Linked DNA regions of Pelodiscus sinensis. The protein of the gene in region 4 purifies or fractionates together with the protein of the main gene of each other region. This does not show direct contact. Links are inferred from orthologs where the notes say so. Each region holds a gene or a part of one and is shown on either strand. Other genes may lie near its edges. The genes, in order: MTA2, ALKBH5, USP1 and KPNA1.

The links.
Region 1: the proteins of KPNA1 (region 4) and MTA2 purify together in Homo sapiens (co-immunoprecipitation; 3 studies listed by BioGRID and IntAct, with this or other methods). This does not show direct contact. The link is inferred for Pelodiscus sinensis from reciprocal best matches to the Homo sapiens genes KPNA1 and MTA2.
Region 2: the proteins of KPNA1 (region 4) and ALKBH5 purify together in Homo sapiens (co-immunoprecipitation; 3 studies listed by BioGRID and IntAct, with this or other methods). This does not show direct contact. The link is inferred for Pelodiscus sinensis from reciprocal best matches to the Homo sapiens genes KPNA1 and ALKBH5.
Region 3: the proteins of KPNA1 (region 4) and USP1 purify together in Homo sapiens (co-immunoprecipitation; 6 studies listed by BioGRID and IntAct, with this or other methods). This does not show direct contact. The link is inferred for Pelodiscus sinensis from reciprocal best matches to the Homo sapiens genes KPNA1 and USP1.

Annotation. Positions count from the first base shown.
Region 1 is NC_134721.1:36,551,444-36,559,968, forward strand, and holds the start of MTA2 (metastasis-associated protein MTA2), read right to left. Parts: upstream 3,398-8,525; 5' UTR 2,902-3,397; coding exon 2,874-2,901; intron 128-2,873; coding exon 60-127; intron 1-59. Other genes in the region: EML3 (echinoderm microtubule-associated protein-like 3), read right to left, coding at 4,592-4,789, 5,189-5,319, 5,478-5,576, 5,812-5,899, 6,165-6,262, 6,482-6,570, 6,878-6,945, 7,209-7,340 and 2 more. UniProt on the Homo sapiens protein: May function as a transcriptional coregulator. Acts as a component of the histone deacetylase NuRD complex which participates in the remodeling of chromatin.
Region 2 is NC_134726.1:34,043,102-34,050,708, reverse strand, and holds the start of ALKBH5 (RNA demethylase ALKBH5), read right to left. Parts: upstream 3,456-7,607; 5' UTR 2,451-3,455; intron 2,338-2,450; 5' UTR 2,228-2,337; coding exon 1,488-2,227; intron 1-1,487.
Region 3 is NC_134719.1:16,470,312-16,477,985, reverse strand, and holds the start of USP1 (ubiquitin carboxyl-terminal hydrolase 1), read right to left. Parts: upstream 3,281-7,674; 5' UTR 3,127-3,280; intron 2,383-3,126; 5' UTR 2,315-2,382; coding exon 2,145-2,314; intron 1-2,144. UniProt on the Homo sapiens protein: Negative regulator of DNA damage repair which specifically deubiquitinates monoubiquitinated FANCD2. Also involved in PCNA-mediated translesion synthesis (TLS) by deubiquitinating monoubiquitinated PCNA.
Region 4 is NC_134711.1:138,989,288-138,997,096, forward strand, and holds the start of KPNA1 (importin subunit alpha-5), read left to right. Parts: upstream 1-4,420; 5' UTR 4,421-4,548; intron 4,549-4,564; exon of another isoform or gene 4,565-4,762; intron 4,763-7,809. UniProt on the Homo sapiens protein: Functions in nuclear protein import as an adapter protein for nuclear receptor KPNB1. Binds specifically and directly to substrates containing either a simple or bipartite NLS motif.

The DNA.
Region 1 (8,525 bases), on a different chromosome or scaffold from region 4:
CAAGGGGTGCATGCAGGGGATGGGTGGATATCTCCGGCTGTGGTCCCACGGCCTCTCACCTTGTTGAGCTCCTCAATGCGCCGGACGAGGTAAGGGTTACTGGAGGAATTCTCAAAATAGACGTAATCTGCCAAGAGAACGGAGACTGAAGCCGTCATGGGGAAATGGGGGGAAACAGGCAGGTACTCAGGAAGGACAGGCTGAACCCTCATAAACGTTACATGAGCCCCAGGGCCACCTTCACCGAAAGCGCCATTAAGCTCCTCCCTCAGAGGGCTGCCTCACCTAGACTGTCTCAGCTGTTTCATACTCACCTGCCATGGGGTTTCCTGCCCCCACCCTAGTCTAGGCCCTGAATAGCAGGGGATTTGTCTCCCCAGCCACCTCCCTGTCACCAATGCACTCCTCTTGTCCACAGCCATTTGCATTCTTGGGCAACATTGCGAGGCTGCAGCTCCCCAGGGCCGGGGCCAAGCCCAAGCCCAAACCCTACACCATTAGAACCCAGAGCCTTTCCATCACCACCTGCCAACCATCTGCTCGGACAGGGTCCGGTTTAACAGCAGTACTGCCAATGCCTGGTAACAGGTTCCAGCCTGGAACATCAATAGCTAAGCATGGGCAGCATTTACCAGGCTTGAGGGATAGCTGAGCCACATGCCCAGGCAGCATAACAGCCAGGTACTGGCGTGGGCATGGCATTGCCAGGACAGGCAGACAGCCTCCCACCTTCCAACGTAACCCAAACGTATGGTGATCTCAGTGCAAGATCATACCCCCTCATGGGACACACCCCAGAGTGGGAAGTGGGGAGGACATTATAAAATAGAGACCCTGAGAAAAACCCCACCCCACTGAAAGGGGCCAACCTTCTTGCTCCCTTCCCCTGAAGTGCCACACCCAAAGTGCAGCACCAAATGCTCATGGGCTTCTCAGCACATGGTCAAATGCCCAGTTTGAGCCAGGGAAGGGTCATGGTAGAAATCCCTCCCCCTCAAGCACCCTAAATCAGACACACCACCCCGGCCTCCTCAAGCAAACTCCACACAAGCCACCACCACCAATTGCAGTAAAACGAGATGTCCCACAACTACCTCCACCTCCCAGCACACTCCCCAACTGTTCCACACACACCATTCCCCACAGACTCTCAAACTGCCCCACACATAACCCACCCTCCCCAAGACCAGGCACATCCCCAGCCAGGCCTCTCTTTCCCACAGCCTTTAAACCCCACAACTGTCCCAGAACTACAGACACCTCAACCTGCCCTCCAATCTCCCCAACTCATGCCCCCAAACTGCCTCATCCACAGCCTGTGCAATAGCCTACCCACAACCAGACTGCCCCCAAACACCTGATAACCCACTTGGTCAACTGCCCCACTTACACCCTACAAGCAAACTGCAGACAACAAATAAACACCTCACTGACCCTCATTCTCTAATTGCTCCCCACCCCAGCAGCCATAACCACAGCCCTCCAAATCTTATACTCCATCGAGCCAGCCGACCCTTGTCCCCTGTGGGCCTTGCACCTGATGAATTCCCTTACCCCTCCCTATGTAACCAAACATGCTTTCCCCAAAGGACTTCCTCCACCACATAACCTGCCAGTTGCCCCCTCAACTTACCTCATTCCCAAATAACAAACCCAACCCACCAGCCAGACCCTCAAGTGCTCCATTTCCCCAGAGCCTCTGAACTTCTTCGTACCATGTAACCAGCTCCCTACACCACATTCTCCTGCCCTCACATAACCAGCCCATTATCCCATACTGCCATTGTCCACCTACCCCCCCCCCCCACAACCTGATGCCAACTGCCCCAGGCCTCCAGAGCCCGTGGACTCCCCATACCAGATGAAGCCATCTCACTACCCTAGATCACCCACATTCTAACAATCCTCCCAGTCCCCACATAACAAACCCACTGCTCACCACTCCCCTACACTATCCACACAGGGGTGCAGCATGTGGGGGGGGAGGGACGGCACCTTCCTCTAAGGAACTAAGGGGGTATCACCCCCCCCCCACACACACACACAGCCCATAAGCCCTGCAGGACAGGACAGCCCCTCCCCCCCAAAAAAAATCCGGTGGAGCGCGAGACACACCAACCTGTCTGACCCCACTGCCCTCCACAGACACACCTCCGGCCGAGCCACTGACACCCCCCCGGCTCGGTCAGGCCCCGGGAGCCCCCACACCAGCGTCAGCACCGCCGTGTCCTGCTGACTCCCCAAGCACGAACGCGCTCCCCCGGCTCACCGCCCAGCTCCCTCCGCTCGGTCCGGTCCTGCACTGCTCCTCCCCCACCCCCGCTCGGTCCAGTCCAGTCCGGTCCCGCACTACCCTCCCCACTCCCCTCCGTTCCAGCCCCGCTCTGCTTCCCCCCCCCCACTCAGTCCGGCCCCGCACTGCTCCCCCCGCTTTGCTTCCTCCCCCCCCGCTCAGTCCGGCCGGCCCCGCACTACCCCCCCCCGCAGCCCCGCACTGCTTCCTCTCCCCCCGCGCTCAGTCCGGCCGGCCCCGCACTACCCCCCCCCGCAGCCCCGCACTGCTTCCTCTCCCCCCGCGCTCAGTCCGGCCGGCTCCGCACTACCCCCGCCCCCCCCCACTCAGTCCGGCCCCGCACTGCTCCCCCCGCTCTGCTTCCTCTCCCCCCCCCCACGCTCAGTCCGGCCGGCCCCGCACTACCCCTCCACCTCCCCGCTCGGTCCGGCCCCGCACTGCTCCCCTCCGGTTCGGCTCGGTCCGGTCCGGCCCCACGCTGCCCCCCAGCTCGGTCCCGCACTGACCCCTCCCCCTCCCGGGTCCACCCGCCTTTGCCCAGCTCCGTCCCAGCCCGGGGCAGCGCCGGCCCGAGACTCACCCCCCACCCGGTACATATTGGCCGCCATGGCCCCGTCGCGCGATGGGGGGAAGGGCGGGGGCGTCTGCGTCCGGCTCCGCTCGGGCCCACGTTAGCCCCGCTCCCGGCCGCTCTTCATCTCCTCCCGCGCCGCCGCCTCCTCCTCCTCACGCAAGGCCGGGACCAGGAGACTTCGGGCGACTCCGGCAGCGCTTCGGTGGTTTCCGGAAAAGGATCGGCAAGACTCGGAAATATCCCGATGCGACTCCGGTAGCGCTTCGGTGGTTTCCGGAAAAGGATCGGCAAGACTCGGAAATACCCGATGAGACTCCGGCAGCGCTTCGGGATGTTCCGCGTGAGATCGAGTTTCTCCGGAACCGTTCGGGTACTTCCGAAAGCACCTGGCGAAGCTTCGGGCACCGTCGACTAAAGCCTCTCGGCGATCGGGTCCTTCCGGACAGTGACTCCAGATGGCCGGCGCCGAGCAGGACGTCGGGTAAATCCGGAAACTGAAACTTTCGGTTATTTCCGGACACGGTCTGCCCTGCTCGGGCCTTTTCGGAGGGAGCTTCAAGCCCTGGGTTTTTAACCCTTTCTTCTCCGAAGGGCTCAAGGTTGCCCCGCCCCCCGTTCAAGGGGCAATTCCCAACAGCCTCAACTGCACTAGAATTATTTCCATACATACAGGTGCAGTTTTAGACATGTTTAGACCAAAATAGCCACTCATTTACCCAAGAATTCACCACCTGCAGCGGAGTCCTACACCGAGGTGAGATGCAGCCAACTCTGGAGTGGAGCACCACTGCACTAATCCCAGTGTCCCAAAAGAGAGGTGGAAATGTTTTCTCTGTATTCCACTGGATTTAGGGAACTAAATCTCTCGTTTCCCCCTCGGAACAAAAGCCTCATTTGCTTCCCCTCACCCCCATTCTGAGGCTGTTAAATGTGGTCTTTGTGCCATCCTAATGCAGACTAGCCCCACACCCTGCTGCCCCTTGCATGCCTTCCTCTCCCCACCCCACTGCTGTGGCCCCTGCATACAACCTTCTGTCCAGCTGCCCCCTACCACTGTTATTTGCTTGCTCCCCACCCCTGGAAGGAAAGAGACGGGAGCCCAGCCCCTGATGCCAAGGCTTTATTGCTGCCTCTCACAGTGTTCAGCGTCTTGCTGCTCTGGCGCAGCTGGGAATGTAAACAAAGTGGGGAGAGCAGTGTCCTGCTTCTCCAGGCTTGGTCCCAGGTTTGGGGGCAGCCCTCAGGCCCCTAGAGAGGAGAGTGCCCCCAGGTGGACAGGTCCCATCACACATACACATTCTGGGAATGGGGCTACTGCTCCACCATGGGGAACAAGGGTGGGTATGGACAGCCCCAACCCTAAGGCCATGCTGCCTCCATTAACACATCCTGCAGTTCCCTGACCCATGAGTTCCCCTGCCAGACCCATCCCTTGCCTCCAAAGCAAGAGTCCCAATCCCAACACCCTCCCAGATGAGCCCCTGGGCCCCAGTGGTGGGAGCTGCCAACAGGCCCTTGGCCCTGCCTCACCACTCTGACCTGTACCAGGCCCTGAGCAGAATTTAGGCCTTTTCCCCAGTGTTAATGAATCAGGTCGCATTATTAGCATGTGTTAGTGCCAGGGGGTAGGGAACCCTCTGGCTGGGCCTCGCTCACTGAGATTCATGTGCCAGGGCTGTCCAGGCCTACAGGCAATGAGGCTTGGTCCCTGTAGCATCTCCGGCTCAGACACAGCCTCCTGCCTCCTGGGAAGATAGGGAAGCAGAAGAGAGCGAGCAGCTATGGGTGAGGCTGCCCCCCAGCACTCGCCACTGGAAGATGCTGGTGTCCTTGCCCCCCAGTGAGATCAGATAGCTGTCATCATTGGTAAAGCGCACGTTAGTCACATGGCTCCCATGGCCCCCATACATGTGGCTGGGCGCCTGCAAGAGAAAACAAGGAGTGGGGTCAGGGGTAGGGGCTACTGATGAAATCCCATCACCTCCAGGCTGTTCCCTAACCTCTGGTCCAGGCCCTTGGGCTCTGCCACTACACCCAGGACCTCCCAGAACCACCGTGATACCCAGATGAGACCCCCCTATTCTGCCCCAAACTCAGACAGAGATTCCCCTGCCCAAGATCCCATAGAGACTTCCTGATCCCCTGGGATGTCCCCATGTCAAAGACCCTCTGGGCATCTCTGGTCCCCAAACTCTCAGGGCAATACCCAGTGAATGAGCAGAAGAGCAAACAAAATCCCTAGTTAATCCTTCCCCTTGTGTGCCTCCTCTCATTTTGGCATGGGTTCAGGGCTTAAACTCCCCTATCCCTGCCAGTCTCACCTTGGCCCTGGCGCAGGGGTACTGGAACAGATGCACCTTGCAGAAGTCGTCTGCCACAGCGACAACACGCTCATTGTGGGAGCGGCACAGGGAGTTGATGTCTGTGCCATCTGAGCCGTCCGGCCACACACCTGCGGAGCAGATACAGGATATGCACTAGCTGTTAGTGCCTCTTCCTGACTGTGGCTCTTGGAACCCCTGGGTTCCTTCCCTCCCGGCTACACTTTTCTCCTTTCCCGTTCCCGACACTCATCCTCTCCCTACACACCCTATGGTTCCCAACCCTCACCAAAAACATGAAAGCCCAGCACACAGGTGTATGACGCCCACTCCCGGTCACGGCTCTCAAAGCGATTCCTCAGCAGCTTGCAGCCGCCAGCCACATCCCCTGCAAAGGAGGCAGAGACATGCAGGGTTAGGGTCAGCTGCAGTGACCGGCACTGCCACATGAAGGTGCAACTCCTAGCCTAGGCACCAGGGGACCACGCACAGCCTTGTCTCAGGGCACCAGAATTATCTCCCCCATGACAGATGCTTATGGATGGGCCCAGGCACAATGAGGAGGACGTACACCCCGGCACCAGGGTGAGGGGCTCCTGAGTACATGCCTTCCCTGCACTCACAGTAGAGGATCTCGTAGTCTCCTGAGTTGGACATGATGAACTTGCTGTCCTTGGACCAGTCCAGGTGGGTGATGAAGCTGGAGTGTCCCTGGAGCAAGAGGGAAGAAAATGGGACTTTAAAGCCAGGTACTCAAGAATCCCCTCCCCAGCCTGAGGTGCCTCCCAAGGATGCACAACCCAAGGGCTTGGAATCACACACCCCCGGCTCCCAGTACTTCCCCCATTCTCAGCCCCCCTGAAACTCTCTTCTCTTCTCTTCCCTCCCTTACCCTTGCCCCAGTAGCCCCTATCACTCCCAGCCTCCTTCTGACAACCCTCTCTTCTTGCCCCCCCTACAGCCAGCAGCGCCTCACCGTGCAGCGACCGAAGCGGCTGTACTTGCGCTCCCCCTCCCCCACGCTGTAGATGTAGATGAAGTTGTCATGGGAGCCAATGGCCAGGAACTCACCATCTGCAGGGGGGGGAAAGAGGGGTGGGATGGGGCCATCTGTGTGCAAAAGGGGGGGCAGTGGAGGGGGTGCAGGAATGGGGGAGAATGGGAGGAACTTGCTGTCTCAGCAACATGAGGAAAATGGGGGCTGGAGGGAGCCAGCGCTGCAGTGGGGGAGGAATCTAGTCAGAATGGGCCTGCTGGGGAGGGGAGCGGGGCAGGGAGGCATGAGGGTCTGACCTGGCGAATACCGCACCACCGAGAGCTGCTCGTTCCCATCCGAGCCCCATGACAGCACCTGCCGTGTCTCTGTGTCCAGCACCATCCACCTGGAGGCACAGGGCAGGGTCAGAGCTCCCAAGGTGCCAAACATGCAGAGGCACGCAGAGGACCGACCCCACCCCAGGGAACAGGGGCAACAGAGAGGAGGTCCGGCCTTGGGGGCAAACTCAGTGACCCCTTAATCCCTGGAGGGCCAGACTCAGGAAATGGGGGCCACAGCCCGAATCTCACGGTGTTGCTTGCAGGGCCACCAGCATCCGCCGTTCGCTGGGTGTGATTCCAATGGGGTGGGAAGGGCTGCCAAGCACCCCTAAGGGGCCAGAAAGGGAGTAATGGGGGGTGGTGGGGAGTTACCGTCCAGTGTTGAGTCCCACGGCCACCACCCTGCCACTGGGGTGGAAATCAGCACAGAGCCCAGTCTCCTAGAGGGGGAGAGATACACTGTAAGGTCATTGACCCTCTTCCCCCACGCTCCATCCCCTCAGGTGGTACCTCCAGGTGAGGCTCCAGGCCTTGCATCCCTCCCCCACCCCAGGCAGTACCTCCAGGTGACACTCAAGGCCACCGTAAGCCCCCCCATCCACCCCAGGTGGTATGTCTAGGGTATGGCTCCAGGCTGCCATGGGTTCCCCTTTCCCCTCCGGGCGGTACCTCCACGAGCTCCCCCATCCCCTCTGGGCCATACCTCCAGGGTGAGGCTCCAGGCCGCTGTATGCTCCCCGCTGTCCCACATGCAGACCTGCCTGTCATGCCCGCAGGTGAGGAAAAGGCTCCGTGAGGGGTGGGTGGCCAAGCCCCACAGCTCGTCCGTATGACCCTGCAACCAGGAAGAACCTGATAGAGGCAGACAGGGGCCTAGCTCACCCCACTGCATGCTGCTCCCCATCCCATCAGACCCCTTCTGCTTTCCCCAGCCCACCACTCTGCTGCACCCCCATACTATTCCCAAGGCCCCTCTTTCCCAAGCCATCCCATGGCCGTGCAGTTTCTGTAGCTGCCCAGAATCTAGCTCCCCACGCACCTGGACAATGGGGGTGAAGCCAGTGCCCAGGCTGCCCCTGAGCAGCGCGTTGCGCGTAGTCCCAACCAGCAGCTCGTCCCCGGGGCCCTCAGCGATGGTGCGCACAGCCCCAAACTGCTCCGGGATCTGGGGGCACAAGGGGCTGATTCATCTGGAGTCACAGATCCTCCCCACATGGCTCCTATAGACCCCTTCCCCTCCTGCACATACCCTTCCAGGGCCTCCTGCCATGCCTCCAATACACCCCTGCTGTCTGTGAACTCCCACCCTGATTTCTATAGTCCCCCAACCAGGCCCCCATACACCCCATAGCACCTCCAAACACCCTCTGCCTGCCCCTGTAATTCCCCCATCCTCACCTCAGAGATCCCCTCAAATACCCTCTGCCCACCCCTGCAGATCCTCCTCCACAGCCACTGCTGCTCCCTCACCAACCACTCCAAAACTCCCTGTCCACTCCCACCCACTATAGACCCCTCACCCCTCCAAATCTTCTTCACACACCTCTGAAGATTCCCACCCCATCCACTACAGCCCCCCATCAACACCCAAACACTCCCCGCCCACCCCCACGGATGCCCCACCCTCACCCACTGCAGATCTCTCATAACATCTAAACACCTTCCTCCCACCCCTCGCCAGCGGATCCCACAGGCAAATCCCCATGTCCAAGCCCAAGCGATCCCCTGCCCAACAGATCTCTCTGCCCAACCCCCTCCAACACTGGCACATTCTGGCCCCACCCCTACCTCCCACAATCCCGTGAATCCCCTTTGCTCAATCTCACCCGTCGCATGCAGATTCTACCCTGCCCCACACTTTGGATTGGAGCCAATTGACCCCATGCAGATTGAGGGCTCCCCTTACTTCCACCTCCTGAAGCAGTGCAAGGCTGGGGCTCCAGTGCACGAGGCGCCGGTCCTTCCCCCCACCACTAAGCACTGAGCCATCGTGCCGCAGGAAGAGTGAGAAGATGCTGCC
Region 2 (7,607 bases), on a different chromosome or scaffold from region 4:
GCTCTCAGAGAGCAGTGCTCACTTACCTGTCAATTTTCTATCTCCACCAGTCTAAAAGTCATGTAACACAGGTGGTGTTGGGGAGAATGAGCTAATATTTGTGCAGCAGTTTAGAGATACAAAGCAGTGTAAGTACTATCTGTTATTAACACACCTGGTCACTCGTACAATGCTATATGTACACGAAGAGGGAAATTCCTTCCTGACCCCCTGCAGCAATCATTTTGCAAGCCAAAGCATGACATGGTATTATACGCACACTGCCTTGCTGCCAGCATGCACGTTTACCAGCTCATACAATAGCTAAAATACTTCCCTTTGGCATTGCTGAAAAAGTTAGGGATATTTGGCTATCCGTGTCAAATGAAGTCTGCAGGACTGCCGTTAGCTTAAGGGCCGTACTATAAAAGTTGATCATAAAATTATGCACTCCCATCATCGGACTTCCTCCTTCCTGTGGCACCTAAAAACCCACCTGCTCCACAAAAACACATGCAACTTAACTGGCTGTTCCCTGTGCCAACCTCAACATTCTTTATGTAGTTAAGAGAGGAGGCATGACCCAGAGGACAGAAAAAGAAATTAGTAGGTAGGCTCTTCCAAGTCCCAATCCTGGCTTTACTAGTGACTTGCTGCATGACCTTGGGCAGATCATCTGACTTCTGTGGCTGTTTTCCCATCTGTAAAGGGGGAACAGGGAGAACCTTCCTGTACCTATGAGACAGGGCTGCTGTGCAGTTTATACTGGGACTACACAATTTGCACTTGCATACACAGGAGATCTCAGAGTATTCTGCACAAAGTCAGCTAAGATTTCATATCCCCACTTTACAGATGGAGAACAAAAACGAGGCCACCTCACCTCTCTGTTTACAGTCACACAGGAAGTCAGGATTTCTGGGTTCTATTCTTAGCTTGGTCACCAACGCCTAAATCAGTTGCTCCATAACAAACATACTGCTGGGCAGGGGCTCCATTTTATGTCTCCCTGTGTATCCTGACCCTAGATAGCAGTCAGCGTCAATCCACTAACATTCCACACGCAGACAGATTCTTATTGAGGCCCCTGCAAATGGGCTTGTCTTCCTCCTAGGCCTAGCTGCGTCACTGTCTGCTGCTCGAGCTGAATCACTGCTCTCACCTGACCCTCACTGATCATGAAGCCTCAGTCCCAAATTTCTTTCCTTAATCCTGACACTCAGTGGAAAGCCCATGTGTTTATGATGCAATATAAACAATTCAGGCATGTTAAAAAGTCTTGGGGGTAGCCAGGTTAGTCTGTAACTTTAAAAACAAGTAGTCCTGTGGCACCTTAGAGACTAACCAAAAATATATAGAATCACGAGCTTTGGTGGGTTTAAAAAAAAATAAAAAAAAATCAGGCATGTATTTTTGCTGATGTTTGTTTGTGTAACTTGTGTCTCTATTAAGCTACTAAGGAGACTCAGGTTTAGCTGCTGAAACTCAGAGGCCTTCCACTTAGTTACCTTAGTACAGTGACACTTCCTCTCCTCACTGGCAGGAACAAGACGGGTTCGGAGACTCTGATGGGCTTGAACTGGAACTTACACCCAAAGCAGAGCGCAGAGTCGCTGAAGAAAGACACAGAGACGATGGGCCTCTCAAAGATGTGGATAGGGTCCACGTGGGAGACGATGCAGCCACCAGGCTGGTAGTCGTTGATCACGGCACTGTTCACAAAGCCCTCAGGAATCACCCTGTGCTCCACCAGCTTCCGGATCACCAGGTCATGCACCCACTCAGGGATGGCATCCACTTCCCCCTGCGGGTACAACCTTTCCTGACCAGGGCCTCGCCTCTGAAGCTGGGACCCATACGTATAGCCCTCTCCAAAGAAATATTTGTTCCGAAGAGGGGCCCTGTCCACCGTATGCTCTTTATAGAGGCCTTTCTCAGCTCTAGATACCACGTCCTCGATCCGAGCTTCGATCTTGGCACATTCATCTGGGCTGAAGAGACGAAGCTGCCGGATGCCACTTTTGACTTTCCGGGCCTCCTCCTCTTCCTTCTGCTGCTCTTCATAGTCACTGGGCTCAGAATCTGAGTCCTCATGGTACTTGCGTTTGCGCTCTGTGGCAGCAGCACCCCCAACTGCCCCATAGGGGGACTCTGTGGGTTCCCGCAGGCTGCTGCCTTTGTAGTTGTCCCGATAAGGCATCATGGACTTCAGCTTCTCTCGCAGGTCTGTGTAGCCACTCCCCGCCATGGTGCGTTTGCAACCCACCTCCTCTACTGATCTTCTCGGTGCACGACTCTTTGGGTTAAAGAGTGGGAAGTGCTGCTGCTATTCATGGCCTCCCTGTCCTGCTGGGATAGCTCCAAAAGGAAAGAGATCCACAGAGCAGATTCTATATTCCAATTCCACACACAGGGCACCCACCCAACTCACTGCTCTGGTGGTGGTGGGGGTGGGGTGGGGGGGTAGAAACCTTTGATTCAGGTAGCTCAGCTCCACGCTTCCATAGAGCGCCCCGACTCCTTGGCGGGGAGAGGGCCAGGCTCTGCTCCAAAACAGGAAGTTCCTCCCTTTCTTTTGGGTAGGGGAAGAAGAGAGGTCTGGTGCGCTGCTCCACGCCGGGTGCCCCCCGACACGTGCGTGTGTGGGGGAGGAGGGAGGGACTGGACGCTCACCTCTCGCTCAGGCTCTTCTCCGGTAGCTGCGTAGGGAAAGAGGAGAGGGAGGAGGGAGGCCGCACAAGGCCAAGCCTCCCCTCGTGGCTCCTAGGGCCGGGGCCCGCTAGCTCCGTCCCCCCGCCACTTCCTGGCTTGCAGGGGGGGCCCGGGACGGGAGCGCGCAGGTCCCCCGGCCGGGCCGGCGTGGGAGCAGGGCTCGGCTGCAGGGGCCTCCCTCCAGGCCAGGGGGGAGCCGCCTCCTGCCGCAGGGCCGGGCGAGGCCTCCGGGCCGCCCGCGGGCTGTCAGCTGCTGGGCCCCACGCTCTGCGCCGGGCGCCCGCCGCCCATGGGGCTCGCGCTTCAGGCAGTGGCGGAGCCTGGCACGTGCCCAGCTGCTGCCCCGGCTCCCGGCAGCCCCCGGGCCGCCGCCTCGCTCCCCATCGCAGCAGCAGGAGGTGGGGCGGGGGAGGGGGGGGGTTGCTCCGACGCGCTCGCGGACGCCGCTCGGACTCCTCGCTACGTCACCAGGAGCCAGCCCGACATTATAAATAGCTCAGGGGCAGCCTAGCGCGCAGGCCGCGCACTGCGCAGGCGCGGACCCCCCATAGCCGGCCCTCTGCGCATGCGCGCGGCGCCCGCCGCCTCTTGGCTGCCGCCGCGCTTCACAGCCGCCGCCGCTTGGCCAAGCCCCCGAGACTTTTTCGTCCGGGTGGCCCGGGAGGCGGGTGGGGCGGAGCGAGTGACTGAGGGCGGTGTCGTTCGGTGAGGGCATCACCGATCCCACAACAGCGCTTCTCCCCCACCCCCCCGTTGCGGTTCAACTTAACCTACCTGTTCCCCCGGCTCGATGCTGATTGGTTGAGCTGCCCTGAGGAGGCGGGCACAAAGGGAAAAGTCTAGCTCATTGGTCGCTGTGAGACGGGGTTCTGCGTATGCAGAAAGTTGCGTAGAGCTGTGCGGAAAGGCGGAGGACCCTTATGAGAGTAGGGGGCTGGGGTGTCTATAGAGGTGCCTGATGGGGTTGGAGTTGAGAGCCGTGCCTAGACCCGCGCTCGTTTCCCCGTAGCAGTGTGGGCGATGGCGGGTGCACGGGAGCAGCCTGGCGGAGATAGGCAAAAAGAGTCAGGCATCAGGCAGGACACCCCTGCCTTGGAGCATCTGCTGCTCCCTGCATGGCTGCCACATGGCACTGGCAGTTCTGCCAGGGGTAAAGTGGGAATGATGGGAACAGACCACGGGGCACGTACCACCCCTAGGGCATAGGCGTGCACTCATGGGCTGTGTTTACACTGGGCCACTTATTCCGGAAAATCAGCCGCTTTTCCAGAATAAGCTGCAAGCTGTCTACACTGGCCCTTGAATTTCCAGAAAAGCAACGATGCTCTACTGTACAAAATCAGCCGCTATTCCGGAAAAACTATTCTGCTCCCGCTCGGTCATAAGTCCTTATTCCGGAACACTGTTCCGGAAAAGGCCCAGTGTAGACAGCCCAGTAGTCTTTTCTGGAAAAAAGCCCCGATGGCGAAAATGGTGATTGGGGCTCTTTTCCGGAAAAGCGTGTCTACATTGGCCACGGGCGCTTTGCCGGAAAAAGGGTTTTTCTGGAAAAGCAGCCTGCCAATGTAGACGCTCCTTTTCCGGAAAAACTGAAAACGGAATAGTATTCCGTTTTAAGCATTTCCAGAAATTCATGCCAGTGTAGACACAGCCATGGGGAAAGTTACCCACCCCTGAGTTCTGGGTACCCAGCCACCCTTACATTGGAGACTGAAAGTACAGAGATGGGACAGGGGTTTGCCCCTTACAATGCAGGCCCAGGTCAGGGGAGTCTCTGCACATGTTCATTCTCCTTCCAGCATCCCTGTGCATCACACCTTTTTTTGGTATCTCAGGAGCATTAAGCCCTTTTGAGTAGCAAAGAACTTGCTTTTTAAAAAAAGCCCTGGTGAATCAAGGGATTTGTGTATAGTACAATAATGTTACAACCCACCTCATCCAGTTTTAGTGTGATCATCCTTTCAGAGACTTTGGGACTGAAGGACATAAACTTTTGTGCCCTTTTAGTACAAAACCCTGTACTAGTCTAGGGAATTAGACTAGAAGGCTAATATGAATTCTAAATAATTGCTCACATTACCAGTAGATCATAATGTTAGATTCCAAACAGAAAGTGGCTAGTGGTGACCTTTTATCTCTAGTGTACTATGGGAGGAACAGAAACTAGCTATGCAGAATCAAAGAGGACAGGCGCTTTTAGGTTCCTGGGAACACCCGGAATGTCACTGACTGTATTCATGTGCTGAGAATAGTAACTCACTAAGTCACTGAAAATGAAAAACACCACAAGCCACAAAAACAGGCTGCAGGTGGCAAGTTCATCTTACAGGCTGTCCAGGCCACTGAAGAAAAAATATCAACCTTGAACACAAGCCCTGAACCTTTGCCTTAATCTGTTTTAGATCACAACTGCAGTTTCCTGGCCTGTGCCCAATTTCTACAGTGCACAGAAATGAATCATAAACAGAGCCCTCTTCAGGAGATATGTGAATATACATTGCACCACCACCACTGTCCTCAAGCTACCATCTTGTGCTCCAGCAACTCAGCTTTCATTTTAAAAGAAGCATATTTCTAGCTTTCAGGATTTAAAAGAAATCCTTCAGAATGTGAACCAACCATAACCGAAGTGGTGATGGGTACCTGAGTCTGCAGAGCCAGAAACAGTAGCTCTGAGAGATGTGAACTATCCCATTCAGCCCAATGGGGTGATTTAACTGGACTATCCAATACTGGTAATTTAATGTCACCAGTGTTAATGATTTCTCTGCTGATCAAAGAAAGGAGGGGGATGACCCTTTTATGAAAACAAGCACAATGTGCTGTGAATGGGATTTCAACTGAGCGGAGTTTGGTTTGTGGGTGGAGCTTGGAAGAGAATCTGTTTCCCTGCCCTGCCCAATTTAACCTGTGAGGGTAACATTGGTGAATTTCATAGTTCAGCCTGGGACTACACTGGGAGCCAATGGGCAGCATGTGGACCTCTTTCAGGCAACTGGCACCAGCGGGGGCTCTGGTTGCGGCCGTTTCCTATGCTGTTCTGTGCAGGTTCTTATCTTCATCCCCATGGAATCTGAGCGCCTTCCAGTAGAGCATTAAGTGTCATGACTGACATCTGGCACATGCGCTTTGTTCAGCCTCATCCCAGGGCAGAGTTGTGCATGTCAGGGTGTATTTTGGTGTGGTAGGCCTGCATTTGGTTTTTTAATGGCCTTGCTGCTTTGTATATATGTTAGAGAAGGCAGGTCAAAAAAGTGCCCCTTGCAATTGCAGCAGAAGGTGGTGAGCAGTAGGGATGTTAAGTTTAGTTTAATCAACTAATCGATTAGTCGATGGATTTTCAACCCCGCTGCGGCCCTGCCTTTTAAATGTATTAGGAGCCTGTTGGTTCTTAATACATTTAAAAGGCTGGTGTGCAGCGGGGGGACCCGGCACAAGCCAAGAATCAGCTGTCCCAGCTCGTGCTGGGTTCCCCCTCCGCTGCACGTTAGCCGTTTAAATGTATTAAGAGCTGACAGATCCTTAATACATTTCAAAAGCAGAAGCGCAGCGTCTGGGACTGGGCGTGAACTGGGAATCAGCTGATTCCTGGCTTGTGCCTGGTCCCTGCTACCTCCCTGCCCCCTGGGGAGATGATGCTGGGGGGAACCGGCACTGGCTGCTTCTCTCCCCCTTGCTGCTTGGGATAGAGGCCCCCCAAGGCTGCAGGGAAACAACTAGTCAAGGAACTAGTCAACTAGTCGCTTAAATCCCTAGTGAGCAGGCCTGCCGACAGGGGCAAAGGGGCCTGGGGTTCAGCAGCAGTGGCGGGTGGAGCCCCAGGACTTACAAGCCTCTGCAACGTGTGGTTCGGGCAGCGCTGAGAGCTGGCTGCCCCGGCCTTGCCCCTTCTGGGACCACGGAGCTGGGCCCCCACACACACATTCGCCAGGGGCGTGCGGAGCCTCTCGACTCCCCTGGTGATCAGGTTTGGGTCCTTGGTTCCGGAGGGAGTTCACTCCACAGGCGTGGACCAGCTCCCAAGAGAGCTCTGTCGCTTGTCCTGGCTGAGCTTTCTTCTTACAGTAGAAAGTTCAGCGTGCGGGAGGAGCGGTGTTGTCAGTCGTGGCTCTCATCCCAGAGCTGTAGCTAATCTTCTAGGTGCCCTGAGCCCAAGCAGGGGTGACTGATGCTGGTGGGGGAAGGGGAGGCAGGGAGGACCACTCAGAGCGGCAGGGAAGGGGGCACGTGGGGGCACCTCGTTTAGCAGTTAAAATTTGGGAGAGCATAGGGAAGCAGTATGTTTTCTGAGTGCTACCATGAGTCAGCTGCGAGCCCAAGCGTGCAAGTCTTTAGATCCCTAAGGAGAAGAGGAGACCCTCCCCTGAACCTGTGCCCTGCTTGGTTTCATTCCAAGGCTACAGTCTCTTCTTTGCAGCCATGTTTCCTTTGAAGAGGCCCTAACTCCTTCAACTCACCCTCCAGGGAAATGCTGGGCCAAGAAAGCTGATGTTTCTCAGGCTTCTTTTTCTCAGAGGGGCTGTCTTTATAGGCGTTTTTTAAGTAAGATTTTTAACCTCCGACTGTTGCTCTGTTTCAGCCTCACTCATCCCAACAGGGGGAAGTGCTGTCTCAGATGACATACTGGGCTCTGTCTCCTTGTCTCCTCTGGGTGTTAACAGTCAGAGGCTGTGTGTGTGCAACTTGAAAACAGTCAGAATCACGAAGCAGCCGGATGAGCTCGCATGGCAGCAACCATGTTTCTTAGAAGCCCTCGGGCTTGAGGGGTGGCGGTGGGGATTAGGAGGGGCACTGGACTGGTAAATGGCTTCATAAGATTGCAGTGCACGGAGAGATGGGAAAGTAGGTTATTACTACCTGACACAAATAGGACGTTGCTATCACTATAGACCAGAAGGGGAGAGACTAAGAGAAAC
Region 3 (7,674 bases), on a different chromosome or scaffold from region 4:
GGTTGGGGTGGCATGGCAGGCAGCATCGCAGAGATGGTGCTGAGGGAAACTTTTAAGCCGGCCCCACCCCCTCCTGCCGCAGCAGCTCTGGTACTTCACGTGAGTTGTGCCCACAAAAGCTCATGATCCCATCTACATTTTTTTGTTAGTCTCTAAGGTGCTGCAGGACTGTTCTAGGAATAGTACAAGACTCATGTGGATGGCCCTACCAAATTCATGACCGTGAAAAATTCATCCTAGACTATAAAATGTTGTTACTCCCATGAAATTTGGTGGTGTGAGATGATACAGCAGAAGTCTCAAACTCCTGGTCCACAGGCCATCCCCAACTGGAGCAGGAATCTGGCCCACGAGTCCTGCTGGGTGGAAGGACTGTCCTTTCCCATCCCCCAAGCTCTGTCCCTTCCTGCCATCACCCCACCCTCTCTCTTGCTTGCACCCCGTCCTGAGGGATGCAGCATTAGGAATTACTGAGAGGGCCTGATGCAGGGCGGTAGCAACAGTCCCTTACCCATCTGCAGTCCCCTGGCTGCAGGAGTTTGAGACCCCTGCTATCCAGATTTCACAAGCAGTACCATGACCCTTCTATAAATAAATAACTTTACAAAACCTACACACCCTTCTCTACAGCCTCAGAACTCCTACTATTACAATACCATGAAATTTCCAATTTAAATAACAAATTATGAAAAATTGTATATAACTTAAAATCCTATAACTGAAATTGAGAAAAATGAACCGTGAATTTGGTTGGGCCCTGTCCATGTGCTACACATGGTCAGTTAGTTTTTTCTGAAGTCTTTCAAAGCAATATGAAAAAGAACCGTAATGATTTTCTATAATGTTTGAGTTATAGTCTTATAGTTACTGCAGAACTAATACCAGCATATACTTTTCATTCTAACCTGCTCCCTCCCATCACCAAGAGAGTATCATTACAGAAATTTCTGCACACCAACCAACTGGAAATATCCAGTCCATTATATAGAGAAGCAACCAAAAGTTAGTTTAGAAACATTAGACTAGTAACACACTGTATTGCTGTAGTAAGTAGGGATGTAACCAACTAAGTCAAGTATCCAATAAGCAAAAGCTTATTGGATAGTTGACTAGTCCCTCAATTAGTCGTTTCTCCCCCTCCCACCGCCTCTATGGCTAGGTCTAGACTATACTCTTATCAGAAAAAGCTATGCAAATTGTGCTTCGCAATTTGCGGCGCTTTTTCTGATTGCTTTTCTGGGCCAAATGACAGAAAATGGCCATCTAGAACAGGCCAGATGGCAGAAAAGCCTCCTCTTTCAGCGGAGTCCTTATTCCTCATAGAACAAAGTATGCAGGTCTCCCTGAAAAAGCGTGTTTCGCTTTTTCTTTTTTTGCGGAAGAACAAAGAGCAAATTCATTTCCTGCACGTGGTGGAGTTTTTCCGGGATCCCAGAAAAACCCACCAGTCTAGACGTACCCTATCAGAGGCACCAAAGGAGAGGAGCAGGAGCCAGTGCTGGGGGGAACCAACTTAAAAGCCGATTCCTCCCAGCACTGTCTCCGTGGAGGGCAGGGGAGGAAGCAGGGACCAGGTGTGAGCCTGGAATCAGCTCATTCCTGGCTCATACCCAGTCCCAGACACTGCACCTCTACCTTTTACATGTATTAAGAGCCTACTGGATCTTAATACCTTTAAAAGGCTGGTGCGCAGAAGGGGGGACCTGGCACAAGACAGCTGATTTCAGCTCAGGCCAGGTACCCGCTGCACTTCAACATTTAAAAGGCTGAATCAGCAGGGAGGACCCTGCATGAGCCAGGAATCAACTGTCCCAGCTTGCACTGGGTCCCCTCCCACTCCGCTGTGCTTTTTCAAATAACTGTTATTTGAAACCTAATTTAAGAAAATGAAGTGATTGAGTTAACGCTTATGATGGATGTTAATACACTGTACAGGCAAGATTATGTCTTTAATTTGTGAAATTTATTCTCTGTTGGAGCAGTGCAGCAAACAGAATAGTTAAGTTTTCAGTAGTCAAGTTGATAAGACATCCATTTATTAAAACGATTTTAAATCGCATGTGTCCATTTTGGGTACAACATAAAAATACTCATTAGAATGCTATGTTATAATCAAAAAATCTTAAACTGAAACTCTTACATACATTTCTGAGCCTCTGTACTCTGAACTCTTTTGTTCATTTTCTTGTGAATCTGTAAAATCCAGTGCTCTTTTAGTTTCCTTTTTTTGAAAAAGCTTCAGGGAAAGCCTGTTTTTCTTTGACGGGCTACCTCTCAAAAGCCCAGCCGTGTCAGTCGGTAATACACCTGGCATTTTTTTCTCCTCACAAATAATAATGGGGATGGGGAATAAGATCAGAAAGCTGCAATCAGCAGTTACACCTGTCAAATAGATGTTACATTTACTTTTACTATGGGATGCAGCCGTACATGCAACACAACTTCCTGACAGTACTTTCTAGCAGCTCAGACAGGAGTGGGCAAGAGCCGTTTCACCTTCACCATTAGATAGCGGGGGACAGGCAGTGACCAAAACCAGGAAGTTTCTCCTGGCTGTGTCCAGACACCTGTCCGAAAGGGGCTGCAGCCCGTGCCCGCCTCACAGCAGACACAGGCTACCCTGGTAGTTCCAGCAGAGAAGCCAAGCAATCAATGAACGGGCTGGCCGGACCCACCCCGGAGCGAGGACTGCTGAAGTTTAGTCCCGGGGAAGCCCGCCCAGCCATAGCATCTCCTGCGATCATTAACCCCGCCTGCGGGTTTGGCCCAGAGGCGGGAAGGCGCCCGCTGCCCGGCACCACTTGGTTCCCACAGGGCCCAGGGCGCACCCAGTTAGTAAGACTTCCAGACTAAGCCCTTTACGCCAGCCATTCTCTCGAGCCTCCCCCCATAGTACGTGTGTCGTCCCCCCGGGATCCGTAAGAGCCGCTAGAGCGGGAAACAATTACCGGCTCCCGAACCACATGTTGAAGCGGGAAGAGAAAGCCCCAAAACTCCACCGGCCCCACAGTGCGAGGGGGGCGCCTTCCCCCAGCTTCCCGCTCCGCACCCCCGACCCGCAAGGGATGGGGTAAGTCCCCTGACTCCTGGGGGGAAAGGGTCCCGGCCAGCGCCGCGTCTCCTCACCCGCTACATCTTCGCTTGGCTCCGAGTGCCGCCGGGAGGGGGCACGCTCTCCCCGAACCACCCTCCCTGGTTGCTATGGTGACTACAGGGCGCCCCAGTTCCGTGCTCCCCACAACGGGAAAGTTGGCGGGTTTTCCCCAGCGTCAGGACCCGACACCCGCCCCCTCGCGCCAGGGCGTGTGCGGCCTCCAGGAGCAAACGCCAGCACAGAAATCCCACTAAGACCCTCAGGCCCGAAAGGGCAGCATCGGCCAATATCGCTTCTTCCCCTCACAAAAAAACCTGGTAGGCGCGTTGGGCCAGATTACGGGGCGCACTAGGAACCCCGAGGCAACTCTCTGAATCCTAGATTCAGGCATTATTACGGCCAGCCCGCGGGGTCCTGGCGGGGCGCGCGCGTGTAACGGTAGAGGCCTGGTCAGAGGGCTCGAGCCTGAGAAGGGGGATATGGGACGGGTTAAACCATCCTATGCTTCTGCCCGCACCCCTCCCTTTCCAAGGAAAGTGACTAGGTCCTGACACGCGGTGTAACCCCCCCCCCCAACACCAATAAGGGCGCGAGCAGATCATCCAATCAGCGTCTTGCGCGAGCTGCGGCGTCCTACGATGCGGTTCAAATGGTCGGGGGGGGGGGTTAACGGCTCTCAGGAAGGCAGCGAGGATTGGCGTACAGGGGGCAGGCGGAGACCCCGTTAGTCCAGTGGGCAGTTCCCCCCAGTCTGAGCACTGCCGCCAGCCAGGCCGCTCGTTGGCGGGCGACCGTTGCAAAGCAGCGGCTTGAACTAAGCGACTCTGGCGCAGCTCCACCGCACTTCCTTGCCCCCCCCCAAAAAAAAAATCACGAGGCCGGCCCCCGCCTCAGCGCGCACGTTGGGTACCGTAGCGGGCTGGGCCCTGCGCTCAGGCTTTATCCCCAGAGCCAGCTGGGCGGGGAGGGGAAGCTGGGACTCCTGCGTCAGCACTCGCCTCCCAGCGCTGGGCTTTACGGAGAGCAGCACGCGCGCAGGCGGCCCCCTCCAGTCAAGGTGACTCGAGCAGGCGGGTGCCTTTGGGCGGGAAGCGCCGTGTGGTAGAGGGGGAAAAAGGCAGAACGAGTGTGCGAAGGAAAAATCCTCCTGGCGTCCGCTAGGTGGTGCCCACAACGTGGCTCAAATCAGCACGTGGAAAGCAGTCCTCATATTTCCCCCCGCATTTCATCCAGACCCTGGCTCGTGCATTACCCCACTTCTTCCAAAGCAACATTCAAATAGTAGTTGTTGTTTTTTCTTTTAAAGTGACGTGCAAATGTTTGTACCTCCAGGTTTGTACCTCCCCCCCTCCGTCTTCCTTATGTCAACAGCAACAGACCTGAAAATGTGGTGGAGATTTTCTTTGAAAATAGTTTTGTTTGTTTTTACTTTTAGAAATCTAGCTTTCGTGACAGACCCGGGACAATGAAGAAACTAGTGTGATTATCAGAGAGATAGCAAGGTATTGCATATGTGAGTTAAAGCAGGGCAAGACAAGGTGGGAATCTACATCACTTTGCAGCACAACAAAGTCCCATGTGGACACCATTACAAAATGTAGTATGGAGAAAGTCCTGGAATGTGGGTTAGCACAATACTCTGCAAGAATAAGTGCAATTCTATACTCCAGGACCTTTGCTGAATGTACAAGTGTCCACACAAGGCATTATTACACAGCAAAGTGTTGCATTATAGAGTTTGACTTGGTTTTAACTCCCTTGTAGACATGACCAAAGGAAATTAAACCTTATTAGTTGACAAGACAGTTATCCAGACTTCTTAAAATGTTGGGTTTGTTTTGTCTATACCTATTTAAAACACTTGGGAAACTCGATTTAATACTCCAGTCTATTCAGTTATTATCTGAGGAAGTTTCTAATGCACATCTGAGTCATCCAAGAAGTCCACTACCAAAAAGGAAGTAAGAATTGGCATCCCTTTAAGGCTCAAGAAAAAAATAAGCAGGAAAAAAAAATCAAAACTTTGTCATATCAAAGCAAAAAAAAAAAAAAGACACAATCCCATTTTTCTTTTGCATGTCACTTTTTCAGGAAAAAAGAAACAACTTAAAAATCAAGTAGAAAATAGTTATATTCAAGGTCTTATAGTTAGAAAATGTTAAAGGGCTAGTTTTGAATTATCTTAATCCAGGATCAAGTTTGTTTAATATTTTTCATGTTATGTAATTCTAGAAGTTACATCAAATTTAATATAGACAAAACAGTAAAAAGAAAATGTACATCAAATATCAGGTCCTATTACTGTTTTGTGTAAAGGAAAAAAACACCCATAAGTACTTCATCCTTTGACACTAACTGCCAAAATTTTAATTATCTTTTGTTTCTTTTATCTGAGTAGTTAAAATACACAAGTATTAGATTTAAAAGCTATTATCTTCATCTAAATAGGATGGATTATATTAGCAAGATGAACAAAAAAGTTTTAAAAAATTCACCTTTTTGTGTGTGTGGGGGGGGAAGCTCTTCACAATTCCTACAGAGAGTCTTGATACATGAATGGCACTCCAAGTGCTGCATCTATTAATGCAATATATGCCATCAAGTGCCACCATTGTCCTTCTGTCATGGATATTGGACCAATGGACAGTCTCTTACACAAATCAGACATCAGGAATGGAACACACATAAACCTTCAGAGGAACGCGTTACCCTCCCTGGACATTCAGTAATGGATTTGAAAGTAGCCCTCCTTCTACAATAGAATTTAAAAAAACCTGTTACAAAGGGAGAGAGTTGAACTGGAATTCATTTGTAAATTCAGCACTATTAATTTAGGATTGAATAGGATCTCAACTGGTTAACGTATTACAATGGCAATTTTCCCTCCCTGGATATTTACATCTCCATACAAAAAGTTGTGAATGACCCACTTCCATCCTCAGTTGATTAGCTTTATTAACACAAGCAACTTCTTCCTTATATCCCTGCTTCTGTAACTTTCACTCCAATTTAGGGATGTTAAATTCCAATTAGTTGATAGGGTGCCTCTGCCTTTGAAATGTAGCAACAGCCCTAGGGTGTAAGACTGCAGGGAACCCCACGTCATTTCAAAGCGGCAGCACCGCAAGGAGCCCAGAATCAGCTGGGGACTCCCCCGCTGACCCCAAGCTCTGTGCGGCGCTGCCACTTTGAAATGCTGTGTGGAGCCCAGCGTCAGGTTCTTTGCGACATTTCAAAGCGGGAGCTCCACATGGAGCCCAGGGTCAGCAGGGAGTCCCTAGCTGATCCTGGGCTCCACGCAGCGCTGCCACATTGAAACACCGTGTGCAGCCTGGGGACACTGCAGCTGCATGCAGTGTTTCAAAGTGGCAGCACTGCGTGGATCCCAGGTTCTGGCCCCAGCAGCGCTGCTACTTTGAAGTACCCCCTCCTCTCACTTCCCCTGAATGCCTCTTTCTGATAGAGGTAGCAAGGGGGGGAAGCAACTAGTCAACTCAATTATCCAATAAGCATTTGCTTATTGGATAGACGAGTAGTCTTTCACATCCCTACTCCTATTCATCTGATGAAGTGGGTTTTACCCACAAAAACTTATGCCCTAATAAATCTGTTAATTTGTAAGGTACCACAATACTCCTTTCTCCACCCCATATAAATAGTTCATTATGACGCTAACCTCAAATTAATTACACCTAGGTTTGGTCAGTTCTTGAATGGGGGAAATATTGAATTATTTACACTATTTATTGCTGCTACACCAAACAGCGGTCACACGTTTACCAAAACAAATACATTTTAACATCCCTAAGTATAATTCCTTTCTGCATTTTGATACTTGATACCTAAAGTATAAATAGTGCATTTGGCACTTTTCAGTGTAGGGTAGGTATCTCAATTTAAGAGAATATAATTAATTTTAATTACAAAATTAAACAGTCATCACAAATTACTTAAGGTGTAAATTACATCTAATGTAAATCCAGGCATGTCTCCTGTCACATGCTATTTGTATACTATGCCATGCAAGTAGGATGACCAGCAGAGTAATGGCTGCATGTAGCTCAATGGGATTTGATCATCTTTGATTAACCCATGCATTATCCCTGGCTGGTATGAGTGTCAGAACTCAACCCAATTTACTAACCATATTAAAATAATTGCATTGAAACCATTTTACTTATCTGGAATCATGGCAGTTGTAGGGTAAATTGAGGCAGCCCATGGTATCTTGCTGAGAACTGACAAACTAAAATCTGAAAGTATCAGGCGAAGCCTGAGAAGCATACAGTACAGCAGTTACTGTGACCCTGGTTCCCCTGGCAACCACATTCCAAAAGGGCCTCACTTTGATAAGGCATGTACCAAACAACTGCGCGGGATTGTTTTTTATTGTCTGCTTTGTTCCTAGAAAATAAGCTTGGATCCCAAAGATCCCAAGGCAATACCACCCCCATAGGAGACGCATTATATTTCCAGCCAACAAAATGACCATCAACATGCCTTTGTTTATGTTGGCTTATTTAGCTTGTTAGGAATAACTACCTGTATTAGTGATAACATGTTTAATTGGCAATGGGCAG
Region 4 (7,809 bases):
AGAATGAAATTGTCAAGTCTTTGAATTATGATGAAATCATTCATGACTTTGCCATAGTTACAGGTGGAAAAAATGTTTAAGTGTAGTGAGGGTAGAATACATGTGTTAAGTTTATGTAAATATGTATATAGATAAATGTTTGATGACTTCATAATTTTTTGCAACATACTTAGGCCCTTCCTTCCCATTAGCCTTAAGTCCCTCAAAACATTAATCCGCCCTGCCAGAGTTAAATGAGCTATTCAGAGCTCTAGCTGAAGCCAAAGCCAAGACATTCCCTTTAGGGTTGCCAGATGGCTTAACCAAAAATACTGAAACATCCCCTACCCAAAAAAAAACCTGGGGAAAAAATTCTGTTGAGGAAAATAAAGGGAGAGACCAAAGTTGTTGAGAAAAAAAAAAAAAGGACCCCGAGAGTTGTTAATTTAAAAAAAAAAAAAAAAGCATGGCCCCTTTAAGAAACGCATTTAAGGCTTTTTGGCTCTAGCAGGCTGCCAACAGCCATCTACCATCTTGTCTTCCTTCTCCGGGCCAGACTGCTCCCCTGCGGAACCAGGTAAGCACTCGGTATTTTTGCCTCCTGGCCAGGAAAAAAATCAGAAAATACCGGACATTTTAGGCGTCCGGTATTTTCCGAAATTTTTTTAATGGACAGAAGGTGAAAATACCGGACTGTCTGGGGCAATACCGGACACCTGGCAATCCTAATTCCCTTGTCTGTTTCACCAGTGGAACTCAATCCTGTAAGTATACTCAGAGTCAGCTTACAGGATTGGGGCTCTGCATAAAATATGGGTGAGGACAAGAAATCTGGGTATGTATTGCTTCAATAGGACTCACATATGCATTACTGAAATTCCAAATTCAGATCCCTGATCTGGAGCAGGGACTTTAATCCAGGCAATGTTCTCCCTAATCTTTTCCATTGATGTGCAGATTTTGTTCCATCCAGGTGCAAAATACATGTTTATGTGCACCAAGGCATGTTCATGTGCACTGATCCCAGGGAATGCTCTGAACACCAGTGTTGCTCTAGTGCAGGTGTGATGCACCCTAAGGGTACTCAGAATTGTGAAGCACCTCACTATCACCTGTCATTTGTGTGAGAAAGTTTTGACTGAGCCTGCCAGGAATCAGCTCCCCAAATCCTGTTATGGACAACACATATACTCTCTTCTAGGCCTCACAGGCCCCACTGTCCCTTTACAGGTTAGTGATAGGTACACTCCAATCTTCAAATCCTCTAAGCATCCCCTTGGATTGGAGAGTCCAGCTCTAGAGCCGCTGGACACTGATGACATTCAGATTCACTGTTTCCAAAGGAACAGAACTCCTCAATTTACCACTTTCACATCAGATCAATGCTCTGCTTAGCATATAGTGCTCAGATATATGTAGAATGAAAACAAGAAGCTTATTTAACAAAGGATTCAAATTGTAGCAAGTGAAAGTACTGGAAACAAATGAGTAAATTAAATCATAATGCACATTCTAGAACTTAGAAATCGATTACAAAGACACCCTCACGTAATAAATACAGCTCACCTTATGACTTTGCAGCGTGTCGCGAGAATCACAGGTCCGATAATGAATACCCAAGGGGGGAAGGACAGAGCCTGTGGCCACGCGGCGCATAGGGTTGCTGGCCCCAGGCACGTGGCTCATGGGGGTGTGGCATATGCACGGCCCCGCCCCCGGGTGTGCAAGTGTCCCTGCCCTCTGGCACCTGGCAGGCGAATGGCCACGCCCCCTGGCACCCGGCAGCTTCAAATGGTTGGGGACCACTGCCATAGGGGTTTCTTGATCAAGAAATTTATGTTGACTGTCTACACTGCCCTCTTGTGGAAGAGCTCTTGCACAAGAGGGCTTATTCCTCTTGGGGAGAGGAATAACTCTTCTAGAAGAAGTCCTGTTTTCTGACACTGTACTGTAAATTTACAGTGTAGACAGCAGGCAAGTTTTTGTGCAAGAAGGGCTGTTCTTGTGCAAGAAGCTGCCAGTGTAGACATAGCCTGTGTGTCTCCTGTTGCCCTTTGCCAGTTGGCACCAAAGGATTCCTGGGTCATAATAGAATAGTGATAGAAATGTAGCCGTGTTAGTCTGGTGTAGCTGAAACAAAAAATAGGACTATGTAGCACTTTAAAGACTAACAAGGTGGTTTATTAGGTGATGAGCTTTCGTGGGCCAGACCCACTTCCTCAGATCAAATAGTGGAAGAAAAACTGGCCAGTGGTTAGTTAATATAAAAAGAAAAACATATTTTGTACCATCCTCGCAACTTTAAACAAAATTCCTTGTATTCTTGAATGCTGCTTGCTAAAATTAATAAGAGCTGAGTATATGCTGCCCTAGCAACCTGGGATATTATTTACTTTCTGCAGGGTCTCATCCTGAGCAGCAGCTCTGGCAATCACAGTCTACATTTTGTCTGAGACGGGGCAGTTTTTTAAAGAAATAGGGTTGAGTAGTTCAAAAATCTAGCTTTGTATTTTGCACCCCTTTTAGTCAAATGCTTTAGTTAATTTCTGCAGGCACCAAATCTCTCCCAGCTTTGTATATAATTTGTAAATTATACATGTGTAGTTGCAAAAAGAATCTGTGTACTCTTGGAGGCTGGGGTGTTTGCCAGGCTTCTTTTGGCAATGGCAGTAAGTGATTATGACTGAATGCACTCTTGTTGACACACTCAGCATCCTACTGCAACAACTGTTATGAAAGATATGCCTTGTGAAGTATCATTTGAAAATTAATAACTTGCTGGTCAATATTATGGTGAAATGTATGTAGCAACATTATATGTAGCATTATGAATTTCCCCTGTATGATATTACCACAAAAGTTGTTTAACCGGTCTAAACTAATCAAAAGAATGTGTTTACCTCAATTTGTATATATGTAGTAAATACGGTTATTGAGACTGCTTGAAGGGGAAATAGCAGCAGACAAGGCAAATCTATATTTCATTATATAAAGAGAAGAAACAGCATGAAACTTCCTTCATGGAATCCCCAGACTCCAGGTTTCGTTCTTTACCTTTTGCATAAACTTTGCTTTCAGGGTTAATTCTCAGAAGAATCCCATTTCAAAGGGCAACTGGACTATAAAAGTGAGAGGCAAAAAGTCCCCCAGTACATTTGTCCCTCTCTTTTGCTTTAGAAGACAAAAGAACCATACCTGGGACTTAATGGAGATGCACGTGTGAGAGGAAGGATCCAGACTAGAGAATTTGATCACACATATTACTGGCAACACGTGATAAGGATCTTACCTTGAACTAAGTCTAGTTTAAGTTTTAGTTACTAGAAAGCATTTCATCTTTATTTCTCTTGTAAACGTTTCTGTCTTTAATGTCACATACTTGTACTCACCTTGTACTTGTAGTTACATAAAATCTATTTTAATCTAAACAAATCCAGTGCTATGTCAAACTAAACAGTGTGGTAACTCCACTTAAAGTAGCAGATTTGAATACTAAGAACAGACCTCTACTCTCTGGACTGTCTGGAGAAGGTTGGACACTGCATAGCATACATTTTTGGGAAAATCCAAGGCAAGGAGTGTGTTGGGGTTACACTGCAAGTAATAACCAAGGATAGTGGAAGCCAGAGTGCAAGAGGGTTGGGGGCAGGCAGCAGATACAGAGACATGCTTGCAGGCTGTTCACGAGTGATCCAGGTTGTGAGCTACAACAGCAAAGCCCTAGGAGGCACCTTAGGTTGCAGGACAGGCAACGACACAATCACTCACTGCCCTGGATTGCATTCTGGAATATGATAGCAGTTAATGGTCAATTTCAGACAACACAGGCCTCCTATAAATAAACGGTTCAGCCTATTCACTGCACTACAGCCTCAGCCTCTTCCTCCAGCTGTGTGCGCTGCGGGTCGGGTGTGGTTATTGTCACAACACCGCAGGGCTGGCGCCTCTTTCCCAACCCGCTGCAGCTAGTTCCCAAGCTCTCCCGGCTGCGGGGCCAGGAAACGCGCGTAGGCTCCAGTTCTCCTTGCGCGGGGGAGGGGTGCAGGTTCTGGCACCAGGCGCAGGCTTCCTAGGAGCAGCTCGGCGCCGCCTCCCCCCCCCTGTGATTCTGGGATAGCAGGCGGCGCGCGCCACCAGCGGCGAGACGAGGCGCGGCACAATGACGCAGCCCAGTCCTCGCGCGCTGCGCTCGCGCCCGGCCGGCCCCCGCCCCCGGCCACAGCGCCTTCCACTGCGGTTCATCCACTAGCCGCTAGCGCGTGGCCGCACAGAGGCGACGCGTTGCATTCTGGGAAGCTAGTCCTCTCGGCCCGGACCTTGCCTGTCGCGTGGAACGATCGGAGAGTATCCGAGCCCCACGCTTGGCGGCTTGCGGGGACTCTATCTCCCAGGGGCCTGTGCGGCGGGGCCGGAAACGACGCGTCGAGAGGACACACACACACACACACACACACACACGCGCGCAGCCGCAGTGAGCGCTGCAGCGGCCAGATCTGGGCAGGCGGGCGAGAGGGGAGGGGCGCCCGCGCGCCTCGGGCCCGAGAGGAGAAGCCGCAGGCCGGGCCTAAGGTACCAGAGCGGAGGGACCGGGCGCCGCAGCTGCCACTGCCCGGCAGGGCTGTAGTGGCCCGGAAGAGCCGAGCGACGGGCGTGTGGGGGTCTCGGGGCTGGTGCGGCAGCCGCTGGGGAGCGGGGCCTGGGCCGGGCGCTGCTGGAGCAGTTCGAGAGCCGTTGCACGCGCTGTCACCCTGCCCGTGGCGGGACCGTTGCCGGCGGCGCGCGCGTGAGTAGGGGCAGTGCCCTGCTGAGCGGGCCCTGGGGCGGGTGCTCGTGCCGCTGTCAGGTACCGCGTGCAGCAGTCGCGGTTCGGCCTCGCGTGCCCAGTGCCGTGTGTGGGTGGAGCCGTGATAAACGAGACCTGGCATTGTTGGGGGGAGGGGGGAGGACAGTCGTTGGGGTTTCAGCAGTATCCTGTGGTAAAGTTTGTGTTTAGCTCCCGCACGGCATTGGCTTGGCAGACTGTTAAGGATGTAACATTTCCAGATTTACACTTCTGTTTCAAGAGAAGCAGTTTTCCTAAATGTGAAGAAGTTTCCTTTAGCTTCTTTTGAGTTACAGGCTGTTAGCTTGGGCACTGAAGGATAGGTCTCAATTCCCTGCTGCCATTTAATGCCAAAAACTCTAGGTTTTTTACTTTCAAATAGTTTAACTTTGAAAAGATGAATTATTTTGGTGAAAGTGAAGGAAATCTGCTTTTACAGAATGAAGTGGTGCAGCTTTTTAAAAAAATGCAATATGTGTATAACGTTTTTTGTCCATATATTTGTTGACATGTTCAAACTCTTTCTGGATTGTTAAGGAAAAATAGCCACCATATGTGGCTCACGTTAAGATGGTTTTGAGAATCACACACCTCTCACCTTGATAATTCACCCTTCAGAGTTAGGTTTGCATGTTGGTTTCAGAACTCACCATAGAGAGAAACAAGGTTGCATTGAGGATTTTAAGCACAACAGTGAGAGTGCATTAAATGAATAGAAAGATAAAAATATGACACAGAACATAAATATTTGGAGCAATATTCTTCAGCCTTCACAGCTGATAGTTTCTTTGCTCAGACTTCAGTTTCCTGGCAACTTTCATAGTGAACATCACTTCTTTTGCTTTTGTCGTTGTTAATCATGCAAAACACTTTAGGAAGTTAGTCTTAGCTGGAGCCATAATACAGTAGAAGTAGTCTTGAGTTGAGATTCCCAAAACCCACAGTCCCACAATTGAGAGAGAAGGTTGTTTTGGTTAAAAAAAACAATAGAATGGAAGTGAAGGCTATGATACAAAAATTATATATAACAAATGGAAGGTATGAGAAGCTGAGAGGAATTGTAGAAAATGCCAAGGAATGCAAGGAGAATCCTTTGGCCTGCAGAGTTAAGTAAGTACTTAAAATATATGAGGAACAAAAATAATCATGACAATGGTGTTGGTCCATTACTAGATGGAAGAGGTAGAATAGTAATGTGGAAAAAGTATAAGTGCTCAATAAATATTTCTGTTCTATCTTCTGTTTTACCCCAAATGTAGTTGGACTGTGATAACATTTTTTTCCCTTCCATTGGTATCTCTGGAGAAGGGATGTGAATGGTTAATCAGTTAACTGATAAGGTTTAATGTGTGAGTTTTATCAGTTTTGGTTTACTAGTGGGGGCTTCTGTGGGCTGGAGCACTCCAGACCGACCAGAGCAATGCCTATCTGTGGTGGGCCCAGCACATGCGCATTGTACACAAGGGCTTTCTGGCTGGCTGTGGCAGCCTCTGTGGGGAGCGGATGGAGGAGAGAAAGGAGGGGGTGCTCCAGTACCCCTGCCAGTCTAACCACCCCCCCTTCATCAGGTAAACATTATTAAACATTACATTTAATCAGTTAACTGGTTAACCAGTTAAACAGGATTTTACATCCCTACTCTGGAGGATGTTAAATTAGATATTTATAAATCGAAGGCTTCAGATAAAATTTTAAAAGAACTGGCTGAGGAGCTTGCTGAAGTGTTGATGGTAATTTTTTTCACAGTAACTTAACAGTGGCAATACTGGATTAAAACAGTGGCCCATATAGCCAAGTATCCTGTCTTTTGACAGTGAATGATACCAGATGATTCAGAGGGAAAGAACAGAAAAGAGTAATTATTGTCTGATCCATCCTTGTTGTCTAGTCCCAGCTTCTGGCAGTCAGAGGTTGAGGGACATACAGGGCATAGGGTTGAGTCCCTGACATTCTGGGCTAATAGCCATTGACTGACATATTCTACAGGAATTTATCTGATTGTTTTTTCAACCCAGTATAGTTTTGACCTTCACAACATCACCTGGCAATGAGATGCACAGATTGACTGTGTTGAAGTAATATCCCTTATGTTTTTTTTAAACCTGTTGTCTAATAATTTCATTATCTGACTTCTGGTTTTTGTTGTTTGAAGGGATAAAAACTTTCCTACTCATTTCTCCAATACCATTCTTTGGTTTCGTGAATGACCAGACAGTGATGTGGCAGTTATGTATTGTTTTTAACCAGGTACCCCCTGCATTACATGTGCAGGTCTGTTAACCCTCCCCTCACTCACACCCACATGCAGTTGACACAAGCAATAAAGCTCCTGTTCAAAAATCATTAGTTTCTATTTATGAAACCCAGGCAAAAGAGAAAGAAAAGGAGGTCAGTGTGTGAGTCTTGCAGGGAGGAGGTGGAGGGCACAATGGCAAGTGGTTTATTACAATCCCCCTGTGTAGCAACCTGTTTGTCTTCTTATATTTAGTTGTGCCCCGTTGATGTGGGTGAATAGCATTTGCTCATGAAACATGTTATCCTATGTCATGTTTTTTAGCTGTCTGATCTATGATAGCTGAAGTGCTGCAGGACTTAGGGGAAGTGGGTAACAGACTCACTGTTGCAGCTGCATCGAGGGAAAAAATGAAGGACAGGCTTTAGAGACAATACCTTGTAGAATGCAGAAGCTAGTCTTTTACCTTGAATGAAGCTCTGGGGTATACAAAGGCATGTGTTTTGTACAAGGCCAAAGAGATGTTTTTAAGTGCCTACTAGGCAGGTACAAGACACACAAGCCCTGCACGTTGCAGTTATATCTGTTTGGCCACAGACTTGGTAATCAGCAATTTGGGATTCTTGGTATTTGGCTTTGAAAACATGTGACAAAGTGGCTGCAAAGTGCAGCTCTCTTGGCCAGGCATTAGGGATGTTAAATTTCAATTTATCAGCTAATTGAGTAGTCAATGGAATTTTCATCGACTACTCGATTAGTCAGTAAGGGGGGTGCT